6 linked regions of the Canis lupus familiaris genome follow. The protein of the gene in region 1 purifies or fractionates together with the protein of each later gene. This does not show direct contact. Links are inferred from orthologs where the notes say so. Each region holds a gene or a part of one and is shown in the gene's direction. Other genes may lie near its edges.

The links.
Region 2: the proteins of CCP110 (region 1) and CEP97 purify together in Homo sapiens (co-immunoprecipitation; 10 studies listed by BioGRID and IntAct, with this or other methods). This does not show direct contact. The link is inferred for Canis lupus familiaris from reciprocal best matches to the Homo sapiens genes CCP110 and CEP97.
Region 3: the proteins of CCP110 (region 1) and CEP76 purify together in Homo sapiens (co-immunoprecipitation; 4 studies listed by BioGRID and IntAct, with this or other methods). This does not show direct contact. The link is inferred for Canis lupus familiaris from reciprocal best matches to the Homo sapiens genes CCP110 and CEP76.
Region 4: the proteins of CCP110 (region 1) and NEURL4 purify together in Homo sapiens (affinity purification with western blotting; 4 studies listed by BioGRID and IntAct, with this or other methods). This does not show direct contact. The link is inferred for Canis lupus familiaris from reciprocal best matches to the Homo sapiens genes CCP110 and NEURL4.
Region 5: the proteins of CCP110 (region 1) and CEP290 purify together in Homo sapiens (co-immunoprecipitation; 6 studies listed by BioGRID and IntAct, with this or other methods). This does not show direct contact. The link is inferred for Canis lupus familiaris from reciprocal best matches to the Homo sapiens genes CCP110 and CEP290.
Region 6: the proteins of CCP110 (region 1) and CCNF purify together in Homo sapiens (affinity purification with western blotting; 7 studies listed by BioGRID and IntAct, with this or other methods). This does not show direct contact. The link is inferred for Canis lupus familiaris from reciprocal best matches to the Homo sapiens genes CCP110 and CCNF.

What each region holds. Positions count from the first base shown.
Region 1 is NC_049227.1:25,964,056-25,968,661, reverse strand, and holds part of CCP110 (centriolar coiled-coil protein of 110 kDa), read left to right. Parts: intron 1-2,337; coding exon 2,338-3,988; intron 3,989-4,606.
Region 2 is NC_049254.1:8,459,747-8,464,352, forward strand, and holds part of CEP97 (centrosomal protein of 97 kDa), read left to right. Parts: intron 1-800; coding exon 801-914; intron 915-1,470; coding exon 1,471-1,637; intron 1,638-3,677; exon of another isoform or gene 3,678-3,873; coding exon 3,874-4,038; intron 4,039-4,606. UniProt on the Homo sapiens protein: Acts as a key negative regulator of ciliogenesis in collaboration with CCP110 by capping the mother centriole thereby preventing cilia formation. Required for recruitment of CCP110 to the centrosome.
Region 3 is NC_049228.1:78,176,572-78,181,177, reverse strand, and holds part of CEP76 (centrosomal protein of 76 kDa), read left to right. Parts: intron 1-529; coding exon 530-754; intron 755-1,915; coding exon 1,916-2,101; intron 2,102-3,957; coding exon 3,958-4,055; intron 4,056-4,606. UniProt on the Homo sapiens protein: Centrosomal protein involved in regulation of centriole duplication. Required to limit centriole duplication to once per cell cycle by preventing centriole reduplication.
Region 4 is NC_049226.1:32,490,294-32,495,667, reverse strand, and holds the start of NEURL4 (neuralized-like protein 4), read left to right. Parts: upstream 1-2,124; coding exon 2,125-2,388; intron 2,389-2,510; exon of another isoform or gene 2,511-2,630; coding exon of another isoform or gene 2,631-2,738; intron 2,739-3,252; coding exon 3,253-3,697; intron 3,698-3,911; coding exon 3,912-3,977; intron 3,978-4,127; coding exon 4,128-4,426; intron 4,427-4,573; coding exon 4,574-4,685; intron 4,686-4,766; coding exon 4,767-4,855; intron 4,856-5,333; coding exon 5,334-5,374. Other genes in the region: uncharacterized protein LOC106558815, read right to left, coding at 1-84, 462-958. UniProt on the Homo sapiens protein: Promotes CCP110 ubiquitination and proteasome-dependent degradation. By counteracting accumulation of CP110, maintains normal centriolar homeostasis and preventing formation of ectopic microtubular organizing centers.
Region 5 is NC_049236.1:29,576,762-29,582,100, reverse strand, and holds the start of CEP290 (centrosomal protein of 290 kDa), read left to right. Parts: upstream 1-2,207; 5' UTR 2,208-2,438; intron 2,439-2,961; exon of another isoform or gene 2,962-2,975; 5' UTR 2,976-3,003; coding exon 3,004-3,105; intron 3,106-3,255; coding exon 3,256-3,333; intron 3,334-4,366; coding exon 4,367-4,436; intron 4,437-4,700; coding exon 4,701-4,747; intron 4,748-5,339. UniProt on the Homo sapiens protein: Involved in early and late steps in cilia formation. Its association with CCP110 is required for inhibition of primary cilia formation by CCP110.
Region 6 is NC_049227.1:39,032,286-39,037,577, reverse strand, and holds the start of CCNF (cyclin-F), read left to right. Parts: upstream 1-2,041; 5' UTR 2,042-2,084; coding exon 2,085-2,100; intron 2,101-2,723; coding exon 2,724-2,878; intron 2,879-4,090; coding exon 4,091-4,197; intron 4,198-5,084; coding exon 5,085-5,152; intron 5,153-5,292. UniProt on the Homo sapiens protein: Substrate recognition component of a SCF (SKP1-CUL1-F-box protein) E3 ubiquitin-protein ligase complex which mediates the ubiquitination and subsequent proteasomal degradation of target proteins.

The sequences.
Region 1 (4,606 bases):
TCTCCAGGATCGCGCCCTGGGCCAAAGGCAGGCGCTAAACCGCTGCGCCACCCAGGGATCCCAAGAATAAATTTCTATAAACAGTTTGTTTTAGGGTGTGGATCATTTCATACTAAAGAAAAAACGAATTATGTTGAACAAATGATTTCTGCTCTATGTAGCTCTGTTTTGCTGGCTACATCTTAACTTTTTTTTTTTTCCTTAGGGTTTGTTTTATAGTTTATATAATTCATACTAGATGATACACGTACAACAAACCTTAGGCTGTTTCCCACTAATTGCTACCTTCATTTTTCTGTGGGTAGTAGATTTTAATTTGCAGATTGTAATGACTATATTAAGTTTAAAAAATACAGTGCAGCACAATAAGGGTAGACTTTGGATTTACTAGATGTTTCCTATTATTGAAACAAAATGGCATATAATTATTGGTCCAGTGAAGGAATATATCAAATGTACTAGTAATGAGATTGTTGAGTCTTAAAACTTCCAACATTTAATAGAGCATGTACAGTGTTAAACTAGAGAGTAATGAATTAATTATATGCAGATATAGAGAAATTTTAAATCAAACAAACAGATTTCTTCAGTCTCTGTAAAACCTATCATTCTGTGATATATTTTTATTCTTAAATTCTCTAAACAAAAACTCCTTTTAGTACTATACCAAAAACATAGCTGCTGTATATACAAATGTGAACTTTGAGATATTTTAAGGAAACAATTTATTTTATGTAAGCCTGTAAACATATTCATGGACATGGTGAATATGTTTCCCTTTTGTTTTATTTTGGTCTTGAGGTTGTGACTAAGTATACTTTGTTGTGCTGTTTATTGCATAGTACCTAGAAACCATTATATGTCTTGGGATTTGTAAGGTAAAACAGGAGTGCCATATGGTCTAGGGAAAAATAACACATACATAACAACCTAAAAATCTTTTTTAATATTCAGGATTCTGGAGTCTGTATTGATATGATAATATGATAATTTCCGTCAGTGTTATTTATTTATTTATTTTTATATCCCGTCAGTTTAATATATCCTGTGTAATCTTTAAAAACCATCCTAGTTCACTTTATTCTTTTGCAAGGTCAAATTATTTAGATAGAAGATGTAATTTTATTTTTTCTGTTGGATTTCAGTTCTCAATTTATAAATTTTTACTTATTTTCTTGTTCTAAAACTCTAACAGGTTGCTGTTTAAAATGATCATCAGTTAATCAAATTGAAATTTGCCTTGATGAGTTGGATTTTAAGTTGAAAATTTTCTTATTTCTTAGTAACTTAAGCTACATGGCTGAGCTATCATTTACTATAAATTTGCCTTATCATAGAAGGATTTTTTTTTTTTTTTAATATTTTTTTTTAATTTATTTATGATAGTCACACAGAGAGAGAGAGAGAGAGAGAGAGAGAGAGGCAGAGACACAGGCAGAGGGAGAAGCAGGCTCCATGCACCGGGAGCCCGACGTGGGATTCGATCCCGGGTCTCCAGGATCGCGCCCTGGGCCAAAGGCAGGCGCCAAACCGCTGCGCCACCCAGGGATCCCTCATAGAAGGATTTTAGTTAAAATCTGGAGTAAGCATATGGGAGGCAAGAGTCTGATTACTGAATTATTTTTATATCCTGGGTAAGTTAGTCTTTGTTAAAGAAAGAGTCATTTGAGAAATTTAATTATGTGCTATTTATATCATATATCAGTATCCTTAGTTGATAGCTTTCATAGGAGAACAGTGGTGACATTAATAACATATAATACAGAAGAAAGTTAAAGAAAACCCTTAGATTCCAAGATTAAATTGTGCATGGATATGTGAATATATATGTGTGTGTATACCCATGCACATACGGACAGATTTTTTTTAAAGGTTTTATTTATTCATGAGAGATACACAGAGAGAAGCAGAGACATAGGCAGAGAGAGAAGCAGGCTCCATGTAAGAAGCCCGATGTGGGACTCGATCCCGGGTCTCCAGGATCACGCCCTGAGCCAAAGGCAGGTGCCAAACTGCTGAGCCACTCAGGCGTCCCCATATGTACAAATTTGCATCAGATTAGATCATTTCCTTTCTTGCTTATACTCTTTTAATAAATAGGCTGGGATGTTTGTATTTTTTTAAATTATTTTATTTAAAAATTTTATCAGTAGCCATTTTTAATAGTAATTTGAGCTCTGTGATATAGGATACAATAGAGAAGGATTATCTTAGTTTTTGTGTTCTCAAATGTTAGAATATTTGAATTTTCTATTTCAATTTTATTTTAGAAAACAATGAAATCAAAGGCTTTTCTCTGCAGTAAGAAAATACTAATTTTAAAATTTCCTTTTCCAGGTTAGAAAAGCACCTAAAGCCAGTGATTTTGATCCGTGGGAGACTGAAACAGTTTACTCTGATTCAGAAGTCAGAAACTTGAATGTCCCTGCTACATTTCCAAATATCTTGCCAAGCCCTACTGAGCACTCTACTTTAGGAAAGTTTGAAAAGATAACTGGAATTTTGCCATTGAATAATGAGGACCAATTTAAATCTAATGGGGTAGACTTAACTAGGGACTCAGAATTTAATTCTTTGAAGCACTGTGATAGTTCAGATATTATTAGCTCTGTGGAAAATGAAACTTCTGTAAAGACCCCCTCCACAACCCCTCAGGAGACTCTCACACCCAATGGTCTCTTCCCAACCAATGAAGAACAGGACCCATCACTTTCGGAAGAAGTTACTCCGGATCCCTACATAATGAGTCTTCAGAACTTGATGAAAAAGTCAAAGGAATATATAGAAAGAGAACAATCGAGACGTAGTCTGAGAAGTAGTGTGAAAAGAAGTGTTTATGAGAGTCATTCAGATAAAGAAAACGAGGCTGTTAAAGGGACTGACTCTGGGAGGGAGAAGGTGCAGCTGGCTGGCAGACACTGTGCTTCTCTGGTTCCTGACAAACCAAGCCTTAATAAATCAAATGTTCTCCTCCAAGGTGCTTCTACTCAAGCAAGCGGTGTGAATATGTCCGTTTTAGGTAGCTTTTCTAAAGTGGACATACCTGTACGAACTGGCCATTGCACTGTTTTAGACCTCGATTCTGATTTTAAAGTCATTCCCACTTTTGTTCCCGAAAATCATGTTATCAAAAGTCTTACTGGTTCGTATGCCAAATTACCTAGTCCAGAGCCAAGCCTGAGTCCTAAAATGCATCGAAGGCATTCTAGGCCATCATCAGCATGTCATATACTTATAAATAACCCAGTAAATGCCTGTGAATTAAGTCCTAAAGGAAAAGAACAGACGGTAGACTTAGTTGTTCAAGCTACTGATGAAGAAACAAATATACCTGAAAGTGTGCCAAAGTTACCAGCTGATTTAGCTGGAGTTTGTTCAAGCAAGGTCTGTGTCACCAAAAATACATCTGAAGCCATACAGGAAGTGGTTTTAGGTAAATCAAATCAGGTATGCCAGTCTTCAGGAAGTCAGTTAGAAAAGAAGGTTATCCATGGACTTGCTATCGTGGAAGGTCAGTTAACATCTGATGGGAGAGGACCACTCAAAATGGACAGTACATGTACTGCAATGCCAAGGTTGCCTGAGCCATATGCCACCAGTCAGTGTATAGTGACTCAAAACTTTGGAACTATGAGTGGACTCAAGTCAGCCAATGTGTTAGAGAAAAACACCTGTAATTTACAAATGGAACTGAATAAGTCTTATGATGTAAAAAACCCATCTCCTTTACTCATGCAAAACCAGAATACCAGACAGCAGATGGACACCCCTACAGTGTCCTGTGGAAATGAACCATTTTTGGATAACAGTTTTGAGAAAGTTAAACGGAGACTTGATTTAGATATTGATAGTTTGCAAAAAGAAAACTGCCCTTATGTCTTAACAACTGGAGTAGCTGAACAGGAAAGGCAATATTTGCCAGAAAAAAGATACCCTAAGGGATCTGTCTACATCAACAAGAATAAAATGTTAGAAAGTAGTTCCAAAGGTAAGGAAACTTTGAAGTGTTTGATACCTGCCAAGCAGATGGCACATTTATTGAATACTTTTTTTTTTTAATTTGAGAGAGAGAGCTGGAGCATGAGTGAGGAGAGGAGCAGAGGGAGAAACAGACTCCAGGCTGAGCAGTGAGCTAGATGTGGGGTTCAATCCCAGGACCCTGTGATGACGACCTGAGTTGCTTAACTGACTAAGCCACCATGGGCCTCTAGGCATCATTTTTTCACCCACCTTTATTGAATACTTTTAATTCACATTTTGAAAAACAATAATAATGGTCTCATCTGATCATCAGGGTTTTTCATTTCATTTCTCTTATCAGAGGACCTATAATTAGCTATAGTTTATTGCCATTTGAAAGCCTTTCTTAAAGCTTTCTCATTTAAAATATGAATCACAGTTCACTTTGTATCAGAGAATATTGTTAATGACTGGAGGAAAGAGTTCTTATATGAAATATCATAGTTTTAATGTAGTGTATTGCTATGATGTCTTCCTTTTGGAATGTGGTTTCTAATATTCTCATCAGTCTGTTTTATTTATTTTTAAAGATTTTATTTATTTATTCATGAGAGACATAGAGAAAGAGAGAGAGGCAGAGACACAG
Region 2 (4,606 bases), on another chromosome or scaffold:
GGGCCAGAGAGAGAGGGAGAGAGAGAATTTTAAGCAGGCTCCCTGTCCAGACCAGAGCCCATCGAGGGGCTTGATCTCATGACCCTGAGATCATGACTCGAGCCAAAATCAAGAAACAGAAGCTTGACAATTGAGTTACCTCAGTACCCCTTGATTTTTTTTTTAAGATTTTATTTTTTTATTTTGTATTTTTTAAAGATTTATTTATTTATTTATTTATTTATTTATTATTTATTTATGATAAAGAGAGGTGGGGAGCAGAGACACAGGAGGAGGGAGAAGCAGGCTCCATGCCGGGAGCCCAAAGTGGGACTCCAGGATCGTGCCCTGGCCCAAAGGCAGGCACTAAACCGCTGAGCTACCCAGGGATCCCCTAAGATTTTATTTTTAAGTAATCTCCACCCAACCTGGGGCTTGAATTCACAACACTGAGATCAAGAATCACATGCTGTATTGTCTGAGCCACCCAGGTGCCCCAATTTTGATTTTTTAAAAGGAAATGAGCAATATGTTGGAGATTGCTCAAGTTTTAATAACTTAAATCTCAAAAAATGCTAGTTACACCAAGCATGTGTTCTTGGACAAATCTTTAAACTTTCTTGAGCTTAAAATATGGACATGAAAAGAGAGAGCTGGACCAGAAGATCACCTAGGACCCTTGTAGCACGAATAGTCTTTGTTTTTTAAGTGATGAAAAGTCTAATAAAATAGATTCCTTTATTTTTATATGCACCATTTTGGTTATGTCAAAATAGATCATAATCTTTTTATTTGTAATTCATCCTGTTTTTACTTTCAAGACCCTGCTTTTACATGGAAACATCATCACCTCTCTTAGAATGGCACCTGCTTATCTACCCAGGAGTCTTGCTATACTTTCCTTGGCAGAAAATGAAATCCGGGACTTAAATGAGGTAAAATTTGAGGGTATTCTGTGGGATCCAGGAAACTGCAAAGTATGGAAGAGACTCAGGAGAGAGTTGTGACCTCATTTATAAACCGTGTATATCTTGGAAGACATTACCAAAAAGATGAAACACTTGACTCAAAATGATCGTTATTTTTCTTTCTACTTTTTCTTAATGTTAGTGGGTCATTAAGGCTTAATTTCATTTGTAATGCTGCAACTATCATTCCATCCAGAACTGATTTGTGGTAGAGGTGTAACTACATTAAAGGGGTCAATAAGTGATACTGTGCACTTTTGCTGCTATTATGTCTTCAAAATAGGATTTTCTCTGTTAGAAAACACTGCTGATACTCTGTAAGGGATTTTGTGCAGCAGGGACAAATAGTCATACTGATGGAATTTTGAAAGTCAGTGGATAATATCAGAGTGTTACTTGTTGCTTTTCAGAACAAGAGGGAAATTGTTACATTCTCAAACTACCAAAGATATGTACTCAAAGGAAGCCCTGTGCTTGATACTAAATAGTCCATTTCATTCAACAAAGATATCCTTTGTTCCAGATCTCTTTTTTGGCATCCTTAACTGAATTGGAACAGTTGTCGATCATGAACAATCCTTGTGTGATGGCAACACCATCCATTCCAGGGTTTGACTATCGGCCATACATCGTCAGCTGGTGCTTAAACCTCAGAGTCCTAGATGGATATGTGATTTCTCAGAAGGAAAGGTGAACATGACGTCTTTAACATCACATTTATCATGGTTGTTTTGAAAAGACTGCTTACTACAGATTAATAAACTGAATATTTTTTTAATGTGTATTTATAAATTAAGATTATTAATGCAATCATATAGGAAACTATATACTGGTCATTTAGGATTTTCTATCCTTTCCAAGAAAAAATAAGATCAATATCAGCCCGAGAGGTAGGGTTTAGTGAGTTTAACTTAATGCCCAACATATAAGAATTTGATTTCTGAAAGTTCTTTTGTTAAGTAGTTTGCGGGGCTTAGAGTATTTTCTGTTGAAATTATATGGATGCTGTATAGAGTCTCAGATAATTAATGTACTCACTTTTTGATGGTTCAGAAAGATTATTTTTTTCCTGGTTACTAGGGAGTTTCAGCCAACTTCCAGCAGAGTAGCTAAAATTAAAAGGACAGACAATATTAAGTGTTGATGGGTATGTGGAGTATGAGTATGTGGAACTCTCGTACTCTGTTCTCAGAGTGTAAATGGTGCAACTACTTTGAAAAAATGGCATATTTAGTGAAGCTAAATATGCAAATACCGTATGACCTAGCAATCTGGCTTCTGGTATATACCCTACAGAAATAGGTGCTTATGTGTCCCAAGAGACATACACAAGCATGTTCTTAGTAGCTTTACTCATAATAGCTGCAAACATTTCAGAGCTATTTGGTACATTTGGAAACAACCCAAATGTCAGTCCAAAGGGAGAGAGTGAGTGAGTGTGGGTGGGAGGAAGTGCAGAGGGAGAGAGAATCTTAAGCAGGCTCCATACCCATTGTGGAGCCAAGGGCAAGGCTTGCTTGATCCTATAACCCTGAGATCATGACCTGAGCGGAAATCAAGAGTTGGACGCTTATTGACTGAGTCACCCAGGCGCCCTGATCTTTATTTAATACATGGACTCGTTCATGGAGGAAATACTTCAAATTATTTTTATTAGGTAGAATAAAATTTTTATCCTTAGACTAAGTTTGAGAGTTCATGATATCAGTTAATCAGCTAGGCATGCTTCATATCTCATTGTGGAAAAGTTTTTCCTTTCTTGTGATATTGGCAAATCACGTAAAACTAATCTCATTTTATTTTATTTACACCATGACTCTTGCATGATTTTACCAGTTATTAATGGTCCAGTTTTTTTTTAGTCCATAATAGAACTTGGGTGGCTTGACAGTTTTGAACTGTAGAGTTCGTATGATGTCGATAACTTAATATCAAAGTCCAAGTAAAGGGCTGTGGGTTGAAAGTAATTTTCAAACTATTTATAATGCTGAGTTAATGCTATAAAAATAGAAAAAGAATACCAAAATGATCCAACCTCAACTTCAAGTTGAGCCTCTCCCTCTGCCTATGTCTCTCCTGAATAAATAAAATTAAAAAAAAAATGGAAATATATATGCAAAAGTAAACAGTAATGTAATGACTTCCCATGAATCCATTATCCAATTTCTACAGTTTGCTATATTATGTTCTTCTATATTATGTTCAAGCAAATCTCAAACTACATGTAATTTCAACTGTGGATATTTCAGCATATATCTCTAAAAGATAAGGGCTCTTAATGAAATAATTACAATACTAGGGACGCCTGGGTGGCTCAGCAGTTGAGTGTCTGCCTTTGGCTCAGAGCATGATCCCGGAGGCCCAGGATCGAGTCCCACATGGGGCTCCCTGCATGGAGCCTGCTTTTCTCTGCCTATGTCTTTGCCCCTCCCTCTCTCTCTCTCTCTGTCTATCCTTCTGTCTGTCTGTCTATCTATCTATCTCTAATGAATAAATAAATATATTTTAAAAATAAATAAATAAAAATGATGAGTTGATGGTTCACTAGCATCCTCCAGCTGTGACCAATTAGCATTTCTTTTAACTGTCATGAACTTTGGATTTAAATGTAATTGATGTATTTAAGTACTTTAGTTTGATAGTGAAGAGAGAAAATACTCATTGATTCTTTGAAAATAATTTAAAAATATTTAGAACAATGAATGCAATTCTGTGGAAGTGCCCCCTAAGCAAGAAAAAGGTTTAAAACATTATAAAGGGTAAAAGGAGTGAATCAGAAGGAAAGATTTTTTTTTAAAACTTAACTGAATTTTATTTATAAGTCATCCAGTGATGCTGTAAATTAAGAAGGAAGATCATTGTTGCTTCAAAATATATCTTGTCTATGCTGATGTCATCTCCTCTACTGTATGTTCTCCAAATCCAGCTTGAAAGCTGAATGGCTCTATAGTCAAGGCAAGGGGAGAGCATATCGGCCAGGCCAGCATATCCAGCTTGTCCAGTATCTGGCTACAGTCTGTCCTCTCACTTCCACGCTGGGTCTTCAAACTGCAGAGGATGCCAAACTAGAGAAGATTCTGAGCAAACAGAGGTAAGCCTCTTTATTTATAGCAGCTGAGGAAATCATAAGTGAAAATAATTCTGAGTCTTTCCTGCATGGGTTAAGTAGGACTGAATGAAGTGCTATGACCCCCATTTCTGGGCACTGGGACCCCTTGTCACTGCAGCAGTCCTATTGGGGAACTAAACCATGCAGTGCCGTCAAGCTTGCTCTGCAGCAGCTGCAATGTTAATTTCCTGAGTAGTGAGAGTCAAGCAGTATAGGAGGAGCCTGAGATTTTCTTTTTCTTTTTTTTTTTTTTATATTTTATTTATTAGCATGAGTAGGGGTAGGGGCAGAGGAAGAAAATGAGAGAGAGAGAGAATCTGGAGCAAACTCTGTGCTGAGCACATGGAGTCCAATTCAGGGCTTGATCTCATGACCCTGAGATCATGACCTGAGCCAAAATCAAGGGTCAGTCACTCAAGGAACTGAGCCACTCAGGTGCCCTGACACTGGGATTTTTAAAAAATATATATTTGCCCTTTAATGTAGGTGTTTCATATGAGTTTTTTATTTTACTTTCATTTTTATTTTTTTAAATGAAATTAGCCAACAT
Region 3 (4,606 bases), on another chromosome or scaffold:
CGAATGAGATTCTTACCATTTTTGTAATTAATCATCCAAAAAACTTAGATTCTGTTTTGCACCAAGTTGTGTATGTCAGAAGCTTTAGTATATCACAGAGTGGAAGCAAAAACAGAATTACCTGTTTCTCATGTTTTAATAATATGTTTTATAAACATTGTACAGCTTTGCTTTTTTAACGGTAATTGCCTAAAAAGTACACTTGCTGAGTTTATATTTGTTTGGTTTGGCTTTGGCGGTGAAGGCGTGTTATTAGATAAGCACCTGAAGAGCAAAGGTTTCTTAAGCCTTGGCTCTGACTCTTTTCTAGCTGGGAGAAAGTACCCAGAATATAAAAACTCCGATAAAAATATATCTTATTGTGTATGTTTTCTTTCTTGGTTTCAAATGGTCCTGGTATACAGTAAATTTGTTACTTTTTTAATTTAGTCTTTGGTTTTATTTCTGTCAAGTTATTATTTCCTATTGTCTTGATCACATTCCTTAAGTTGTTTGGCAGTTTCCTCATATATATTGCTACACTTTACAGCTAATATTGATCCAACACGGAGGTATCTTTACCTTCAGGTTTTGGGTGGAAAAGCTTTCTTGGAACATCTACAAGAACCTGAGCCTTTACCTGGACAAGTTTGTTCAACCTTTACTCTATGTTTACATTTTCGAAACCAACGTTTTCGTTCTAAACCTGTTCCATGTGCCTGTGAACCAGATTTTCATGATGGCTTTTTACTTGAAGTACACAGAGAAAGCTTAGGTAAGGAGCAATAATAACTTGTCATTTAATTGAGTAAATATTTGTTAGGTTTTATGGTAACATAACTTTTGCTAGAAGGAGAGTTTTATGATGATTGAATCTTCCTACTTTGCTTTTATTTTCTCCACTGCTCTTTTTTACATAAATTACTTCTACCTTTTTGCTTTATTTTCTGCTAAATAATTTTTCCTTAAGATTTTTTATTTTTACTGTTTTAATGGTTGCTTCTTAAGTAGTAAACATTTAAATATCTGTTAGGGGGTTGCCTGGGTGCTGTAGTCGGTTAAGTATCTGACTCCTTATTTTGGCTCAGGTCATGCATGATCTTAGTGTTGTGGGTTTGAGCCCTGCATCGGGCTCTGCGCTCAGCACAGAGTCTACTTGAGATTTCTTTCTCCCTCTCCCTCTCCGCCCCCCTCCCCAAAATCAGTCAATCAACCAATCAATGAATGCCTGCTAGATGCGTTATACTGTACTAGGCAAGTGCTGAGGATCTAGTGAAGAACAAGACATAATTCTTCTCATTTATGAAGGATAGCTAGGTTTATCATGTTATGTAACTTTGAGAAATAAAGGTAAGATGGGAGTCTGTAACTAGTTTTTTAAAATTATATACCTGATTCCTATAATTCTTATATTATTTCTGTAACTGTATTTTATGTTATTTCAATATAGAAATCTTAATAATGTGTTTGCTTAGCAAAGCTAAAAAATTACACCTTTAGAAATTTAGATTGCTAAGATGGCTAATACAGTATGAAAAGATTTTTTTGCCCTTGGTGAAAAAGGTTACCCTAATAAGGCTGTTTATTTTTTTTTTTTAAAGATTTTATTTGAGAGAGCACAAGTGAGCACAAGCAGAGAGTGTTGGGGAGAGGGAGAAGCAGACTCCCTGCTGAGCAGGGGGTGTGACCTGGGGATCCATCTCAGGACCCTTAGATCATGACCTGAGCCAAAGGCAGACGCTTAGCTGACAGAGCTCCCCAGGCGCCCCAGGATTGTACTTTTTAAATTAAGTAATCTGTTGCATGGTTTCTGAGGCATTACCAAATTATTTTATTTGGTTTTATGTAAGTATATTAGTATCCTTTGCAATAAACGTATTCTTCTATGTTGGTCTAATGGAATATGTAATGTGATGCATTTGGTTTATGTTGCCAGGTGATGGAACTAGAATGGCTGATTCAACAACAATGTTATCAATAAGTGATCCAGTTCATATGGTGCTAATCAAAACAGACATATTTGGTGAGACTACTTTAGTAGCATCCTATTTTCTCGAATGGCGATCAGTTTTGGGCTCAGAAAATGGAGTGACCAGTCTTACTGTGGAGCTTATGGGTGTAGGTATGATGATTCATCACTGTTACCTTTTTATAGCCATAGCTTGTTTATAAATGCATTTTATGTTTTCTGAATGCCTTTGTAAACCAAACAGGAAACATGTAAAAAAACTTTCATTAGGGAGTGCCTGCATGGTGCAGTCACTTAAGTATCCGACTCTAGATTTCCACTCTTGATTTTGGCTCAGTTCGTGATCTTAGGGTCATGGTCTTAGGGTCATGAGATCCAAGCTCTGCATCAGGCTCTGGGCTCAGTGTGGAGGAGTCTGCTTAAGATTTCTTTCTCTCAAAAAAAATAGAAAAAAAAAAAAAAAACAGATTCTCTCTCTCTCTCTCTCTCTCTTCCCCTCCCCCCTTTCCTCTTGTGCTTGTGTGCGTCCTCTCTCTCAAATAGATAAATACTTAATAAAATACTTAAAAAAAGAATTTCATCAAAATTACATTTGGACTCTAGTATTGGGGTCTTGGGAAATGCCGTGAAGCATGTTAGTAAAGAACTAGGGCAGCCTGGGTGGCTAAGTGGTTTAGCACTGCCTTCGGCCTAGGGCCTGATCCTGGAGACCTGGGATCGAGTCCCGTGTCGGGCTCCCTGCATGGAGCCTGCTTCTCCCTCTGTCTGTGTCTCTGCCTCCTCTCTCTCTCTCAATCTGTGTGTGTGTGTCTCTCACGAATAAATAAATAAAGTCTTAAAAAAAAAAGGGTATAGAACTATACAGTCAAACTGATCTTGTAAGGAAAAATTTTTTTTTCAGGGGCTTATTTTTTTTCTTCAAATTTATTTGATTGCATATAAGGCTATAAAGAACAGTAGGATTCTTCACACAGATGCATATGTAAAAACTCTACTCCAGCACACTCCAGTGTACAGTGCATCCCCCATTAGTATCAGTGCCTTCCTGCAGCAGTGGTTCTTACAGAATATGGAGGTGATACTTTTCCAACATTTTACATGTGGGAATATGGGACTCAAAGAGGTGCTGACTTGTTCATTGACAGGATCTATGAATAATACTCCTTGAGGAGAGAGATGGTGCCTATTTTATTCACCATTGTTTCCTTGGACTCTTGGGAACTATCTGATGTGTGATATGTATTTTCTAATAGAATAAAACCTACCAGTATTTTATGCATAACATATAAGGGAATTACTTTGGTATTGAAACTAAGTCACAGAGTCAAACCTGGTTGGTGGACGGTATAGCTTTAGTACTTTAGATTTTGATAAGTCATACCCAGAATGTGGTTTTCCTTAAATAGAAAGTAAGGGCACAAGTTTTTTGTGGGATATATGTATTTCCAAAAGATACACATTATTTGTCTTCAAATATAGGCCTAACATGATTATCATAGTAGTGACCAAGAAACAAGTATATTCTGATTCACCAGAGGAATAGTAGATAGTTCTTGTAAAAAGTGTATTTGTTTTCAAATTGTTTAAATCCAGGTATGGATGTGATGCGAAAAATGGGAAGGAATTATTATATGTGACAAAGTATAAATATTTCCTGAGAACCAGATGTTAACAGTTGCTTTACTTTGTTTTTAATGTAAATCTGGTTGGTATACGTTTAATGAAGATAAAAATTAAGAATACCAAATCCTTTAGATCCAAATAGCCCTTTAAAATGTAATAAGCAAGCTCAAAAAATAGATAATCTTACAACTAGATCAAGGTCTTTATGCAAAATAAAAACTGATTTGAATTGTTTTTAATATGAATATTAAAGATGTTGAATATTATCTGTATTTCACGTAAGTGGTAAAGCCAAAATTCTTAGATTATTTTGGTTAGACTTTGGTTGACTAAATATACATAGTCTGGAAACCTCTGAAGTTCTAAATATTTGTTTATATTTATAGGCACAGAATCAAAAGTTTCTGTTGGTATTTTAAATATAAAACTTGAGATGTACCCACCACTCAATCAGACATTATCTCAGGAAGTAGTGAACACACAGGTAAATGATTCTGAATTTCTCTTCTTTGTGTATTTGTTTTCATAGTAGTATATTTATCTATTGATCCTAGAAAGTAATTTCTTTTTGGAAAATTACCACTTAACTGGTTTTAAGCAAGAGAATGACAATACAATTTATTATTAAAAAAATTTTATCTTGGGGTGCCTCAGTTGTTTAAGCATCTGCCTTTGGCTCGGCTCATGGTCTAAGTGTCCCGTGATTGAGCCCCACGTCAGGCTCTCTCCTGGGCAAGGGGTCTGCTTCTCCCTCTCCCTCTGTGATGTTTCTCACTCTGTCTGAAATAAATGAATAAGATCTTTAAAAAAAAATTTGTCTTGGGAGAAAAAAAGATCACTGACCATTATATGGAAACTAGATTATAAGGGGAGGGGTAGTATAGACACAGGGAAGTCTGTCAGGAAGCTGTTACAGATGATGGAGATGATGGCTTACGGTTAGGGTGGTGATAGAGATGGAGGGAAGTATGTAGAATTGTTAATTATTTTATAGTATTTAAGGAGGAAAAATATATATATATTTTTTAATTTCAA
Region 4 (5,374 bases), on another chromosome or scaffold:
TCCACCTTCATGAATCCATAGTCCTTGTCAGCAGGGTGGTAGGTGGCCAGAATATTCATCTCATCCCACCGCTGAGACTTTTTCCTGGAATAGGGGTAGGACCCAAGAGAGGAGAAGGAAATCTTCCAGTGACCTTCCCTTCACAACCCTCCCTCGTTCCTTCAGTTATTCAAAAACCTTTCTCTTGTATCCTCTCGTGATCTCAGAGGCGCAGGAGCCTGAGGATGGCGAGGCGAGGGTGCCATACCTGATGATAATCACATACTGGCCTGACAACGTTTACTGGGCCCCAGCTGCGGCCCCAGAGAGCCTGGAACCCGAGAATTCCCAGCTCACAGCCCTCAGCCGCTCTCCTTCCTAGTTCTTAGGACACCACCCTCTCCCCTAGCTCCGCCCCCTCCAGTGTCGGGAACCCCGCCCTCCGGGCTCCGCGCCGCTGCCCCCTGAGCGGGGCTCCTTACTTGTCCGCATGGAGGCACTTCTGCATCAAGATGGAGCTGCTGTTTTTTAGGATGCTCCGGGGTCGGCCCTCACCAGGTTTGTGGGAGTGCGAGCAAGTTGACCCGGAGCGCGGCGGACTGCATCCCGAGTTGTACACCCCAGAGCCCCCAGACCCGAGGCCGCAGGTCCCGGATACACTGGTTCCAAGGAAGGGGGCATTGAATCCGTCAGGGTTTGGGCAGGACCCGGCGCTCAGGCCCGCAACCTCCCCAGGGTGCTGGCTGGGCCCGGAACCGGGGACTGCTACCCTCGCCGAGGGCCGGCTAACTCTAGGACTGCGAGTTACGATCCCTCCAGAGTGCAGGGGGGGCTCAGAACCGTGAAACAAGGCAGCACCGGAGGGCGGCCCGGCATCTGCCTCGACTCCTCCGACGCCTCCTAGCGCTCCCCTGCTCGCCCCTCCCGGAGACTCCCCACCGAGGCCGCCAGCGGCCCCCACAGCCTCCGGCTTCTCCATGGCCCCTCCCGGGGGCCCCTCTCAGCTGCCCCGCCCCCACATAACCCCGCCCCGAGGCCCCGCCCCCACCGCGCCGGGCGGGGGACGCTCTGGCAGAGGCCCGGGTCCACTTCCGCTCCGCTCTCCGGGGCCGCGATCCGGGGTTCCAGACTCTAAGTAGGGCCCTCGGGCTGGGGGGTTGCCCTCTGGTTGCCTCTCTCTGTCCCACCCAAAGGCCTTCTTTGTCTCTGGGATTTGTTCCCGCCCTTCTTCCCCATCACCGCCTTCATCCGAATTATCCAATCACAATCGGGGGTCCCGGTTACGGGCGAAAAGCCTTGATTGTGACGTCACAGCCTTTCAGCCTCAGCGCGAGCTCGCAGAGTTGGGCTGGGGGCTTGTTCCTAGCTCGGGGGTCTTTTTGGGGGGGCGGGGGTCAATTCCTCAGCGCCGTTGCTGGAAACCACCTGCCAAGGTTTCACTGGACTGTTTATCCGTGGCTTTAAGATTTAAGGGTCTGGCTGGATGGGAGTTCACGGTGGGCTTATCTGGAAGTACTGCCAACCCCTTTAGCCTCCGCCGGCCCCCTCCCCAAAGTTGGCCTGCTGTGCCCCTCACGAGAGGTGTGATACAAAGCGACGAGGTTGCGACAGTGTCGCAAAGACGTAGCCGCGCGGCGCCGAGGTGTTCATTTATAAAGCGCCCGGCTCCCTTCCCCAGGTCCTAAGGCCGCTGCTCACCCACTGCGAAGGCTGTGGCGCGAGGGGAACACACCCCCTCCGCCCGCCGTAAAGCGGCTTCCTAGAGGGGCCGCGTACCTCGGCGAGGGCGGGGTCGTCGGCGCCGCTGTTGCCAAGCTGAAGGTGGGGCGGACCCCCTGCGTCGTAAAGGGGCCTGCGGCTGTCGTTTCCTCTTCTGTCGCAAAAGCTCCCTGTCCTAGCCCACACGCCTTTGAGAGCCTCGCCGTCACCCCGCCGTGCCGTAAAGCAAGCCTGCCCGACCCCGTCGTCCTCCGTTCCCACCGTGGTGGGTTACTAGTTCCCTAGCCCGGGATGCTTCCTCGCCCGGCAGTGCCGTAAAGCATACCCGGCCCCAGCGCGGAATCCCGTTCCCTCTGGGTGTCTGTGCGTCGCGGTTGCCACGGTGCCGCCAAGCGCGGCTGTCGCGCGGCCCCGGTGTCAGCGGCGATGGCGGCGGGGTCGGGTGGGAGCGGGGGCTCCGGGGGTGGCCCCGGGCCGGGGCCTGGCGGGGGTGGGGGCCCCGGCGGGAGCGGCGCAGGGCCGGGGTCCGGCGGGGAGTTGCACCCCCGCACCGGGCGCCTGGTGAGCCTGTCGGCCTGCGGGCGTACCGCGCGGCGGCAGCAGCCGGGCCAGGAGTTTAACCACGGGCTGGTGTTGAGCCGGGAGCCCTTGCGCGATGGACGCGTCTTCACCGTCCGCATCGACCGCAAGGTGCGGAGCGGGGCCCGCGGGAGGGAGGCGGGAGGGGGCGAGCGGGAGACGCGGGGCGGGACGGCCGGGCTGGCCTCCGCCGCCGGCTGCCGAGAGCGAACCGACACACCGTCGCGGCACCAGGCGGCGGGCGGGGAAGGGGAGAGGGACGGCGAGAGCTTTAGATTGCTCGAGACCCCGGAGCAGGGAACGGACACGGGACGCTGCCACCCCAGGGGTGGTTAGGGTCCAGATCTCCCGGGATGGTTTCTGGGGAGGTGAAAAGATGGAGGGATGTCGGGGATGTGGTAGGAGCGCAGGAGAGAAGCCGGGGAAGGACCGGCCGTTGGAGGATCAGCTGGGGCGAAGAGGTGGGTGAGGAGAGACCCTCAGGGGGGCCGAGGGGAGGTGTGCCTGCTTGTGTGCCCCTCGGAGAAGAGGCCAGGTGCACACAGATGGAACTTGGGAAGAGAGGGAATCTGAGTGGAGCAGGAGCCCTGGAGAAAATGAGGTCGGGGGTGGGGGGAATTGGGAGGGGGGAGGAGGGTGGTAGACAGGAGCTAGGAGGATGGGCATGGAGAGCCGGGAACTTGGATGCTGGAAGCCAGGGGGGCTGCAGCCAGGGCATGGTGGTGTTGGGGACAGATCCCAGAGTGGGGGCAGAGTTGCTGGGGTACAGCGGGCCCAGCAGTCCCTGAGACAGTCCAGATGATTGCTCACAGGACCACCTCTCTAGAGTCGTGTCTTGGGTCTCAATAGAGAAAAGCCAGTTAGCTGTTAGGGGTGTGGAGAGAGGGGGACACGTGGTTTGTGAAATGTGGTTTCCTAGTGGTTGGGGACCCACGGTAGCCCATCCTGAGCCTCTGTCCACCACCCTTATCACAGGTCAACTCCTGGAGTGGCTCCATTGAGATTGGGGTGACGGCCCTAGACCCCAGTGTTCTGGACTTCCCAAGCAGCGCCACAGGGCTGAAGGGGGGCTCATGGGTAGTGTCAGGCTGCTCGGTGTTGAGGGATGGACGCTCTGTGCTGGAGGAGTATGGTCAGGACCTGGACCAGCTTGGTGAAGGGGACCGTGTGGGCGTGGAGCGCACAGTTGCTGGGGAGCTGCGGCTCTGGGTGAATGGGCGGGACTGTGGTGTTGCCGCCACGGGCCTCCCCGCCCGGGTCTGGGCCGTGGTGGACCTTTACGGCAAGTGCACCCAGATCACCGTGCTGCCCCCCGAGCCAGGTTTCAGCCCCCCTGCTCCCATCCCCACACCTCCCCTCGAGCCCTCTGCACCCCCTGAAGATTCCACCTTGACTGAACAGGCGACCTCTGGGGATGAAGGTGAGAACCCAGCCAGGGCCGAGGGGAAGAGGCGGGGCAGGGGGAGTGGCAGAAGGCATGGGTGACTAGTGACCATGGAGTCTGGGTTCGGGTAGGGCCACTCAGACCCCAGTCTGCTGAAGGGGAAGCAGGGGCTACAGGAGGGGTGTCCTGGTTGTGGGCCCCGCAGCAGGGGCTGGACCCTCATTCCCCTCCCACCCCGCCTGGTCCCCAGCCTTCATGGTGTCCCCAGCGCAGCCCCGGCCGGAGACGTTTCCTAACAGCCTTGAGTCGCATAATGGTGAGGGCACCCTGGAGGCTTTGGGAAGGGGAATGGGAAGTGAGGCGGAAGGTGAGGGGAGGGGGCCCTCAGGAGAGGATTAGGGGGAGAGTGGAGGGCCTGAACGTGTAGAGCCTCATTCCGGCTTCCCTCCCCTGTCCTGCCGCCTAGACTTTGCCAGCATGGAGCTCTCTGAGGTGGTGGGCAACGCCATCCTTTCTGCCTACAACGGGGGGCTCCTAAATGTGAACCTGAGCTCCCCACCGGCAGGGGAAGGACTGGGGTCTGGCGGGGCTGCCACCTCGCCCATCCTCACCTCCAACGACGCCCTGCTCTTTCACGAGAAGTGTGGGACTCTCATCAAACTCAGCAACAACAATAAGACAGCTGAGCGCCGCCGGCCCCTGGACGAATTCAACAACGGGGTTGTCATGACCAACCGCCCTCTCCGGGACAATGAGATGTTTGAGGTGTGTGAGGTCCTGGGCCCTGGCTGGTACCTCACCCTCTGGGAACCAAAAATGGGGCTCGATCCCTGACATTGGAAGGGTGGGGCCGAGGGTCCTCTCTCCACATTGACATGCCCTCCTCTCCCTCCTGCTGTCGCTCCCCCCAAGATCCGCATTGACAAGCTCGTAGACAAGTGGTCGGGCTCCATTGAGATTGGTGTCACCACCCACAACCCCAACAACCTGGAGTACCCTGCCACCATGACCAATTTACAGTCAGGTACCAGCCCTGGCGGGGCGGGGACACCTTCCCATGGTGAAGGAAGGCCTGGCCTGATGCCGGGCGTCTGCCTTCCCACAGGCACCATCATGATGAGCGGCTGTGGGATCCTGACCAATGGCAAGGGCACCCGCCGGGAGTACTGTGAATTCAGCCTGGATGAGCTGCAGGTAAGGGGTGGGCGTGCAGTCTGGGCCGCGCTCTGGGGCAGCCTTGTTACCCAGCACCCCTGCCCGGGCACCCCAGTCTCCGCTGTGACCTGGAACAAGGCTTCTGATCTTTCTCCGAGAGGTTCCTTCTGAGAAGGCACGGTTGCCTGGTAGTTAGGCACTCAGATTTCAGAGCCAGAGGTTTTCTTTTTTTCTGAGGGGTCGTGTGGGGTCATGACTACAGTCAAGAAGCTTGCTCACTATGTTTGGTATGGGTTTCTTTTTTTCTTTTCTTCTCCACGCCTGAGATGAGCTCATGAATTGCTTGGAGAGGTGGCTAAGGTGCTGTGTATGAGGTGGCTTCACCCTGTGCCAGACTTGCTGTGAGGGAGGGTTCAGGGGCTCAAGACTCAGGTGCCTTTGGGGCTGTTCCCCTGCGGCCTGGGCCAGAGCCTGATTGGAGGCGGATTCCAGATCTTTGTTTTTCTGCTCTGACTAGGAGGGCGACCACATTGGTCTCACAAGGAAGTCCAACTCAGC
Region 5 (5,339 bases), on another chromosome or scaffold:
CCTAAGGAAATGAAATCACTATGTGGATAAGGTATCTGCTCTCCCATATCCATTTCATTGCGTAATTATTTACAACAGCCAAGACATGGAAATAAGTTATGTGGCGACTGACAGATGAATAAAGAAAATGCGATATATACAGTGGAATATTATTTAGCCATTAAAAGAATGAAATCTTGCCATTTGGGAAGACATGGACCTTGATAGCATTATGCTAAGTGCAATAAGTCAGACAGAAAAAGACAAATACTATGGATCTCACATGTGGAATCTAAAAAAACAAACCCCAAAACAGCAACAACAACAACAAAAAAACAAAATCGAACTCATAGAAACAAAGAACCAACTGGTCAAAAGCTATAAATTTCTACGTAAGGGGGATGCGATATCAGCATGGTTAAAAAAAAAAAAAAAAAACAGTACGTGGCATATAATCTCAGTAAAGGATACAACAAGATTATCATTCCTACAAATCTGATGAATGTCTTTGAAACATATCTGCGGAAATCATATCTGTTTTTATTTTCTCCTTGGCTATTTCCACCCAAACACGTGGTTTGAAAATGAATCTATGTATTTTTGGAAGGAAATTTGTTATCAATTACGGTTAAGAGGGACGCCCGGCTCCCGGTGCATGGAGCCTGCTTCTCCCTCTGCCTGTGTCTCTGCCTCTCTCTCTCTCTGTGACTATCATGAATAAATAAATAAAAAAAAATCTTAAAAAAAAAAAAAGGGGGGGGGGGGGGGGACGCCCGGGCCGCTCAGCGCTTATCGCGTGCCTTTGGCTCAGGCCGCGATCCCGGGGTCCTCGGACCGAGTCCCACGTCGGGCTCCCCGTGAGGAGCCTGCTTCTCCCTCTGCCTCTCTCTCTCTGTGTCTCTCATGAATAAATACATAAAATCTTTAAAAAAAAAAAAAGTTATAGTTAAGAAAAAATTCCTAAAAAAAAATATATATATATAAACATGAGGCACTGGTCCCAAACAATTGAGAATGTCATTTAGATTTCAAGTCTACAGGGACGCCTAGGTGGCTCAGCGGTTGAGCACCTGTCTTTGGCTCAGGGTGTGATCTCACCGTCGCGGGATCGAGTCCCACATCGGGCTCCCTGCATGGAGCCTGCTTCTGTCTCTGCCTCTCTCTCTGTGTCTCTCATGAATAAATTAAAAAAAATCTTAAAAAAAAAAAAAGATTTCAAGTCTACAGCCTAATAGAGTTCTGGAGTAGCCAGAAGAGCTAAGCGCAGTGGGATGAGCAACACCTGCCCAAAGGAACTGTGAACACCTGAGGAGCGCTTTCACCTGTGGGCATCGTCGCTGGTCAAGCAAGTGACAGGCTGAGGCAGGTGAGGGCTGCGGCCGCTCCTCCCTGCACCCCAGCGTCGGGATCAGGCTACACGAGACCTCAACACTCCTCCCTGGAGCGCTTCACCCCTCGACACCCACTCCCCACCTCCGCCCCCAGCAAAGGCTACGGTGCGACAGGTGAGGCGGGCAGAGGAGACCGTGTCCTCAGTTCTTCACTCCCCACGAAACCATGACCCCGGCCGCGCGGCCCCGACTCCACCGCACAGAGTAGATCCTGAAAGCAAAGAAAACTCAAACTTTCTTTTTTCTTCCTGCAGAGGGCACCGCCCGGGGGACGTCCGCAAACGCCTCAGGAGAAGGGGTCTGCCCCCCTCAGCCCTTCAGACCTGGACCGAGTCCTTCCGCCCCGACCGCGCGCGCTTCCTTAAGCCGGGACCGCTCCCCTCCACGCCTCCCCCGCCGCTGACCCGAGCGGCCCGACCTCACCTGGAAGCGCGTCCAACCAGGAGACGGCTTAGGGAAATCCCGGGAAAAGCGGCCCGGCTGGTGACGCCACCGAAGGCACAGTCATGGTCTACCTCATTCAGGTCACCGGCGCAGACGCGCCTCAGCCACCGCGCCTCCCGCCTCTGGGTCGTTCCCCCGCTACCCCCGCGCGGTCGCAGCCTCCCGCATTGCACGCCGGGAACAGCCTACCTCCCTAGACTTCAGTTCCCAGCATGCACGAGCTTCCGAGCAGAACTGCGTTCTGGGATTTGGAGTCCTTTTGCCCTCGCCTTCTCCCCGTCTTTCACACAGAGTCCAAGGGGCCCCGCGGGAGGATCTAAACGCAAAGCATCACTCAAGGTCGTGAAATGTAGGCTCCCCTCGCATCCGGGGCCTTGCGCCGTCCTTCGCGGGGTGGGGAATGGTGTCGCCTAGCAGCCGCCGCCGCTCTGGCTTGCACTGCACCAGTTGGCGGGATCCAGAGTCCCGGTGGAACGGCGCCGGGGAGCGGTCGGGCGTGGCGGCGGGGCCAGGCTCGACCCGGGGGGCGGATCGGGGGCCGCTGCTGATCGCCAGGCTCGGTTCGGTGGGTGGATCTTGGAGTGGATCTTGATGAGCAGGAGCAGCCAGTTTCTTCCCAAGCAGGTTCTTTAAGCCTCAGGGCCCGTACGTAACAGCCTAGCTTCCCCACTGCTTAGCCTGGTCTGCAACCCATCTGCCTTCTTCTAGCTGCAGCCCTGCTTTCCCTGGCCTAGCTGCGCTCATTTCAGTCGTTTATTTCTGCACTGTTTTTATTATTATTATTTTTAAACCGCTCCTGTTCTTGCTTCTCCGAATCAGGATTCATTCTCAGCCTTCCAAGCACCCCCCTCGTTTTGGCACCACTAGATGTTCGCGCGCCTTGGTGGTAAGGGGGCGTGGAGGAGGGGATTCAGAATCTTAGTTCTGCCCTAGGTTAGTTTTAGAAGAAATCACTCCTAGTTTACAGGCGGTGCAGGATCTGTTGATTTGTGCCAGCTGTCATAGTTTTGATCAATGCTATTATGCCCACTTATCTCTTATGCAATTAGGGAGCCATACCTCTTTGCTAACACCATAGAGAGTTAAAATGATACAATCTATAAAAATAGTAATGCTGTTTATCTTGAAAATGCTAACACCCACCTACCTGTCTTGTTCCAGAAGGTAAAGCGCAGTGAAAGATTTCAAGATGCCACCTAATATAAACTGGAAAGAAATAATAAAAGTTGATCCAGATGACCTGCCTCGTCAAGAAGAATTGGCAGATAATTTACTGGTTTCCTTATCCAAGGTGCTTAATTTATAAACAGTGCATCTATCTATGTACAACTGTGATTAATCCAAGTTGTCCCTGAGATCAATGAATGTTACAAATAGAAGAGTTTTTACATTTTGACTAAGGGTTATAAAACATAAAATAGATGCTTTTCTCTTTACTTAGGTGGAAATAAGTGAGCTAAAAACTGAAAGTCAAGAAAATGTGATACACCTTTTCAGAATTACTCAATCACTAATGAAGGTTTGTATGCAGTAGGTTTTAACAATATTTGACTATTAGAGGACATTTAAGGAGCTCTTAAATAAGTTAATTGTTATGAAGGTATTTGTAATATCAAAATCACTCAAAAAGAGATCTCTTTCAAATATGGACTGAGAATTTTAGTGTGCAAAGCATTGCTCGATTCTGCTCCAAAGTTCCTAAAAGAATGCATAAGGGAAACAGAATGGGTATGTTTAAAAATAATATAGCAACTCATTTGTGATTATGTTAACATAATCCTGAAGTCAGAATGAAAAATGTGAATGACTTGTAAGGGGTTTGTTAGGAGAGGAAGAGATTTAGGTGAGAGAAGGCCTCATAAAGGGCAAAGAGTGATGAGCAATTTTAGGTAAGTAGAAAGCAGTGGCAAATGTTAAAAAGCTTCTACAGCTGGACATCACAAGTAAAATCTGGGACTAGAAAATGTGCTTATTTTTTACAGTTGAGACAGGTGCAGAAAGTTTATAGTAGGTTGTAGAGGAAACTAATGTTGGTTATAGTTAGCAGTAGGCCGTCAAGGGTATTACAGGTGTATTTTATGTTGCTATTAGCAATGAGGAGCCATGAGAGGTTTTTGAGCCTAATTGATAAGTGCAAAAGTATGCCTTAGGAAGGCTTCAACTAGGTATATTAATAGGACTAAGTGAAGGGAATTGAAGCTATTTAGAGATAACATGGTGAAGAAGGTTAGATATAAGATTATGGGCTAGAATAATGACAAATGGAATAGAGAAACATAGTAGAAAGCATTACAAAGGGCAAAGTTACAGTACTGGATATAAGACTTGAGGGAGAAAAGAGGAATCAATATACTTCAAGCTGTTAGGAATCTAGGAATTATGTCCTTAAGAAAATCATCTATTCATTCAACAAATATTTACTGAAAGTCTCCATATCCCAGGCACTGAATGACAAATAAATATTGGGAAAGCAAATGAAACAAAGTTCTCATTTTCATTTTCAGTGTGTATGTAAAGGCATATTGAAATAACCTTTCTTTTTTAATGTTTAGATGAAAGCTCAAGAGGTTGAGCTAGCTTTGGAGGAAGTTGAAAAGGCTGGAGAAGAACAAGCAAAATTTGGTAAATGTCCTGGAAAAGTTTATCACAATGTTAAGTAGGGGGGCTTCTGTTTAATATACTCTATAAAATATACATGCTCAGTTTATTTTGTAAGAAATTTCTAGCATTCATATTTCCTGGATGAGGTATAAAAGTCATTTTTTCTTATGTTACTTATTATAATCATGATGGAGTCTTTAGAAATAATTTTATTACTTTGTTGAAATTTATTTAAAAGTTTGTTTTGAGATGAATCTGACCAATTGAAACTTTTTTTTTAAATAGAAAATCAATTAAAAACTAAAGTAATGAAACTGGAAAATGAACTGGAGGTAAGTTCTTTTCTATTACCTAGGGGGTAACTGTTGTTTATTTTGAATTACTGTTTTCGATTTTTTATCATTGGCTGGAAGAAACCACAAGAATGACATTGTGTTCATAATTAGTTGTTTGTTCGACATACATTTTACACGTTTACCATGTACCTTAAGTTCTTAGGATTGAACATCCAATAGTGAACAAAATAAAAATATTCAGTCACCCCCCCAAAGCTTACAATCTAGAGAGGTGTACAGAAGACTACTAGCAACTGAACTGAAGTGGAGGAACATGGGAATTTGAGGAATACTGGTGGAAGGATTTGGTAGAAGTAGTTTTTGAGAAAATTAGGAGCCAAATATGAATGTATTGTTAACCAAAGATTTTGAAATTCCTGACAATGTGGGAAGGAGTGTGATACAAATGGATTAGCCTTTAAAAGGGGGAAAGACCTTCTTCCCTTTTTTTTTTTTTTTAAGATTTTATTTATTTATTCATGGGAGACACAGAGAGGCAGAGACACAGGCAGAGGGAGAAGCAGGTGCCCTGTGGGGAGCCGGAAGTGGGACTCATCCCAGGACTCCAGGAACACGCCCCCAGGCCAAA
Region 6 (5,292 bases), about 13 Mb from region 1:
TTCATCAACTTTCAACAGCTGACAGGTAGTGGCGCCACGATTCAACTGAGGTAGAGGTTCTCAAAGTGGGGTTCCTGAGCAGCAGCTTGTGAATCATCCAGAATCTTGCTAGAAATTCAGATTCTCGGGCCCCACCCTAGACCCACTGAATCAGAACTATGTGGGGTGAGGCCCAGCAATCTGTGTTGTAGGGACCCCATGTTGACAAGTACTTCTGAGGCAGCTCAGGTGTGAGAGCCACTGAGCCCAGGCCTGAGAGCCGCAAGGCCAGCCTACGCGCCCAGACGGATGGGACCATGCGCCTTTGTCACAAGCACGCTCCTCTGAGACGTGCCTGTCACAGGGCCTTTCTCCAACATGGTCCCACCAGTCCCTTCTAAAAAGCCCTCTCGGCTCTTCCTCTGCAGCTAGGTCTCTCCCCCTCTTCTCAGCCAAGCTCTGGAGGAGTGGTATCTACTGTCTTTGACCAAACTTCTACCTCCCATCACCACTCACCCAACTTGACAGCACTGTTCCACCTCGTGTTCCACCCGAGGTTTCTCCATCCTCTGCAGAGCATCTGGTTCTCCTCTCCTCTGAATGGTGGGATTGCTCTGGCTCTCAGAGGCTTCACTATCCCCCAGCCTCTGTCCCTGCTGTCCTTGAAACTTTCTCATTCGCCGCCCCCCGCCCCCCCACCCCATATCCTCAATGGCCACCTTCTTCCAGCCAGGAACATCCCTGACCCTCAACAATCAAGACCTTCCCAATGAGTTCTCCCATCCCGCTGCATGGGTGCCCCGTGGTAAATGTACTCTTCTCAGCCTCTGGCAGTGGCTAGTCACCCCACGGGGCCCCCAGGGCTCTTCCTGCCAGGGCAACGTATGCAGGTGAGAGCGCACAGCATGGTCAAGGAAACAGCACTGGTTTTCTGGAAAAATAAGAAAACTTGACCTCTGAATAAATAAAATGATGGGGACATAAATGACAAGAGAGAGGACAACTGAGGGAGGCCGCTCTGGGCTCCCGGGGGGCGAGTGGGTGTGGGGACCAGGGTTTATGACCCTTTGAAGGCCTACCATAGTCTAGGCTGGAAGGGTGAGCCCCTGCCCAGAGGGAGACCAGCAACAAAGTCACAAGGGTGCAGGGGAGGAGGACGACACAGTAACAAGGCCGACACAGTAACCAAAGGCGCCAGGAAGGACGAGACACCTGGAGGGTCCACCGTGGGTTCTCCGCGGGCTCCCGGGTGCACCAGGGGCCGCCCGGGCTTCCTGTGCGCACCGCCTTGCCCCTCCCTCCTCAACCCCGACTGCCGGGCCTGGCCCCCGGGCTCTGGGACATGGGGACCCTCCGACACCGTGTGTGACCGTTTGCTTCTGTGTCCCCCGCTGCAGACTAGCGCCTCGCACTTAGGTGCGCGGCCGCCCAGCGGGGACCGGGACGGGGACGGGGACGCGGAGGGGAGGGGAGGGGAGGGGGGCAGACCCGGGGCGCGCAGGGGGGGAGTGAGCAGAGCGTCTCCGGGAAAAGCGCCGCGGCCTCCTCTGCCCGGCGCTTCCCCCGTGGGGTCGTGCCGGCCCAAGGGACGCCGTGCTCCGTGTGGCTGGCGGCAGCCGGGGGGCCGGCGGGCACGTCCTGCGGAGGCACGGCGAGCCAGGTTCGCGTCCCTGAGGGTCCCGCGCCCCGGTCCACGGTCGGCTGCGCGCGCGGCCTCGGGGTGAGCGCCAGGCTCCGGGGCGCGCGGCGGAATCGCCGGGCCCACGCGCGCACACGCCCCCGCCGGCCCGGCCCCGCACGCTCCCCGGGCGCCCCGCCCCACTACCGCCCTGGCCGGGGAGGCGGGGCGGCCGCGCGGGCCCCACCAATCAGCCGCCGGCGTTCGAATTCGCGTCCCGGCGTGGCCAATGGCGAGCGCCCGGAGCAGCGGGTGGGCGGGGCGGCGGCCGGGACCCGGCGGCTCTGGGGCGCGCTCCCCCCGCGGCCGGCCAATGGGAGGGCCCGGCGCATTTGAAAACTCGGGCGGGCGGCGGGGCGGGTTTGCGCCTGCGCGGGGCGCGCGGGGCTGACGGCGGCCGGGGGCGCGGGCGGCGGCGGCGGCGGCGATGGGGAGCGGTGGCGGTGAGCGCGGGGCGCGGGCGCGGGCCGGCGGGCGCCAAGCGGGGCGGCTCGGGCCCCTGGGCCCGGCGTGGGGGCGGTCCGGGGGCGCCCGCCCGGCGCGTGGTTTAAATGCCCGGCGCCGCGGGTGTGGACGGGCTCGGGGGGCCGCCCGGCGCGGGGGACGAGGACAGCGCGGCGGGACCTCCAGGTGCCCCGCGCGGCCCGTTAATTGCCGTGGGCGACCCCGGGGCACAGCCGGTCGGGGCAGGAAGGCCTGCAGGTCCCGCGGGCGGGCGGGCGGGAGCAGGGGGCGAGCGGGGCGAGGGGCTCCCTCGGGGCGGTCCCGGCGCCCGACCAGCGCGGAGGCCCGGGCCCGAGCGGAACCGCCGTCCCCAGTGGCCGGGCTCCCTGAGTACTTGCTGCTTCCCCTAAGCCCTTGAGGAGTTTGAATGAACGACGGTGCCTGCCGGAATTGGCGAAGCCCTCCTCCTCTCTCTAACCTTTGTTCGGACCTGGAAATGAGGCGGGTTCGTTGGGGGTAGGGTACGGGGACCGTTCGGGGGTCTTCAGAGACAACTTTGCACCTCAGCCTGGCTCCTTCCCAACACGCCCCTGGACCGCTCTGCTCTGCTCTTCTTCCTCAGTGATCCACTGTCGGTGCGCCAAGTGCTTCTGTTACCCTACAAAGCGAAGAATAAGGAGGAGACCCCGGAACCTGACCATCCTGAGTCTCCCTGAAGATGTGCTCTTTCACATCCTGAAATGGCTTTCTGTTGGGGACATCCTCGCTGTCCGAGCTGTAAGTTGCCGGAGGAGAAAAATAGCGCCAGCCCTAGCTTGTTGACCTCACAGGTGGTTTACACCATCAGGGCTCAGGGCTCTGGGCTCCGTGTTCTTAGATGTCAGAACAAAATCTTGGCTACAGAAGAGGGCAGAGGCTATAAGGACGAGGATGGTAATAGACATCTGAGGTTGTTGCAATCTGCAGGAAAATAGCTAAGCTGAAACAGTGCAATATGTTTTGAATCGCTTTGTTGCAATGTTTGTTCTCACAGAGAAAGTAGCCTACAGTGGCAGTGAAATGTTCACCTCTTAAGAAATAACATAGTATTAAGAAAGAACAAAAACATATTCTGGAGGACAATCACCTGTGATGTTGAGCCTTGAAAGGGACCCTGGGAGGTTAGTTTGCAGAAACTCGCCTCCTGCTGACTTACTCAAGGGCATGCACAGCAAATCAGTGGAAAAACACCCAATGGGAACCTCCCAAACCTGCTTCCACCGTGGTCATAATATCCACAGATGCTGAGTTTGTTTTTTTTTTTTTAATTTTTATTTATCTATGATAGTCACAGAGAGAGAGAGAGGCAGAGACATAGGCAGAGGGAGAAGCAGGCTCCATGCGCCGGGAGCCCGACGTGGGGTTCGATCCCGGGTCTCCAGGATCGCGCCCTGGGCCAAAGGCAGGCGCCAAACCGCTGCGCCACCCAGGGATCCCCAGATGCTGAGTTTTTAATGGCGATGGGAACTTCAGCACATGAAATGCTCACCTGTGCTCAGGGCTCCCAGCTGGGGCACTTCCTGCCTCTGCCCAATGTGGTGTTAATTTTTTTGGTCTTTTCCTGAATTCTCTGCTGTTCTCCAGGCTCCAGCTGTGTTCCCACTAGCAAGGCCCCAGGGATAGGAGCACAAAACAAATTTCTGTTACACTTGCTCCTGTTAGATCCATTTCCCTAATCCTAGGAGGTATATGCCCTGACGAGTGTCACCACCCCTTTCTCCGCATAGATGCTCATTCTCCCTTCCAGGACCATTGGCCTTGCCTTGAGAGCCACAGAGAAATTTGCTCCTTCCGTGTATTCAAAACAGCTATTACTTTGATACACGGGTTCTTTCCCACTGGGGTGGGGAGTTGTCATCTGTCTGTCCCATGGTCAAGATCTCCAGGAGCGGGGCTTCTGGGGGGTCCCTTGATAATCTCTGCCCCCACCCCACTTCCCTTGTTCCACAGGTACACTCTCACCTCAAGTATCTGGTGGACAACCACGCCAGCGTGTGGGCATGTGCCAGCTTCCAGGAACTGTGGCCTTCCCCAAGGAACCTGAAGCTCTTTGAAAGGTATCTGTGCACCTGAGGGCACACAGTTCCCCAGTGTGCCAGCCTGCGTCCCAGCACTTGACCTGGGAACACTTTTCCTCACCCCCCAGGGAGTGACTGAGGGCTGGCAGCGTCACCTGTAGAGTCACATGCAGCACAGTCACTGCCATGCATGCCACCAGCACAGCCTGACTCATTAGTCACTGTCATGCTTCTGAAGGGTCTCACTTGGGCTGGGACTAATCTGCGTGACTCAAATGCAAGTCACCTGCATGTGGAAATTTTACTCAGCCCTCCCTCTTTTTTTTGGTCAAAAGTATATGATTTAACTCCTCTTGCATTTTAGTCCGTGGCTGATCCCAATTCCTGCCGGGGTTGGGACCCAGGGGGAGAGATGGAGTAGGAGTGAGCCCCTAGGCCTGTGGGCCCCAGTGTGCCAGTGGTTCCAGACAGGCTGCCTGAGACATAAGCGACGTACTATATACCATTCATCCTCTTAAAGTGTGCAACTCACTGGTTTTTCATAGATTCAGAGTTGTGCAACCATCACCACTAACTTTAGAACATCCTCACTACCCCACAGTGAAGCCAGAACTAGTAGAGGTCGACCTCGGTGTCCACTCCCTATTTTCCCTGCAATTTTCCCAGCCCCTGGCAACCCCTAAATCTGCCCTCCTGTGTGTGGATTTACCTCTTGTGGACATTTCATGTAAGTGGAATCATACCACATGTGTGTGACCTTTTGTGGCTGACTTCTTTGGCTTGGCACATCATTAAGGTTCAGGTGTCACGGTTGAGGGGTATATGACTGTGTTACATTTAAAAAATCCTCAGTTAAAAAACAAGTGTTTTAGCTTCAAGTGCTGTGTCAGACAACATCAGGTGACGCTGTGTTTTTAACTGTCTAGGGCTGCGGAAAAGGGAAATTTTGAAGCTGCCGTGAAGCTGGGCATAGCCTACCTCTACAATGAAGGCCGTAAGTCCTTGCGGGGCTGGGCTGGCCTTGCCCCACTGGGTGCTGAGCACGTAGAACAGGCATGAGCCCTTCCCAGTGGGAGCCATTCAGTCCTTATTCTTGCTTGTCCGGCCATATGCCTCTCCCCTTGTCCACTGGAC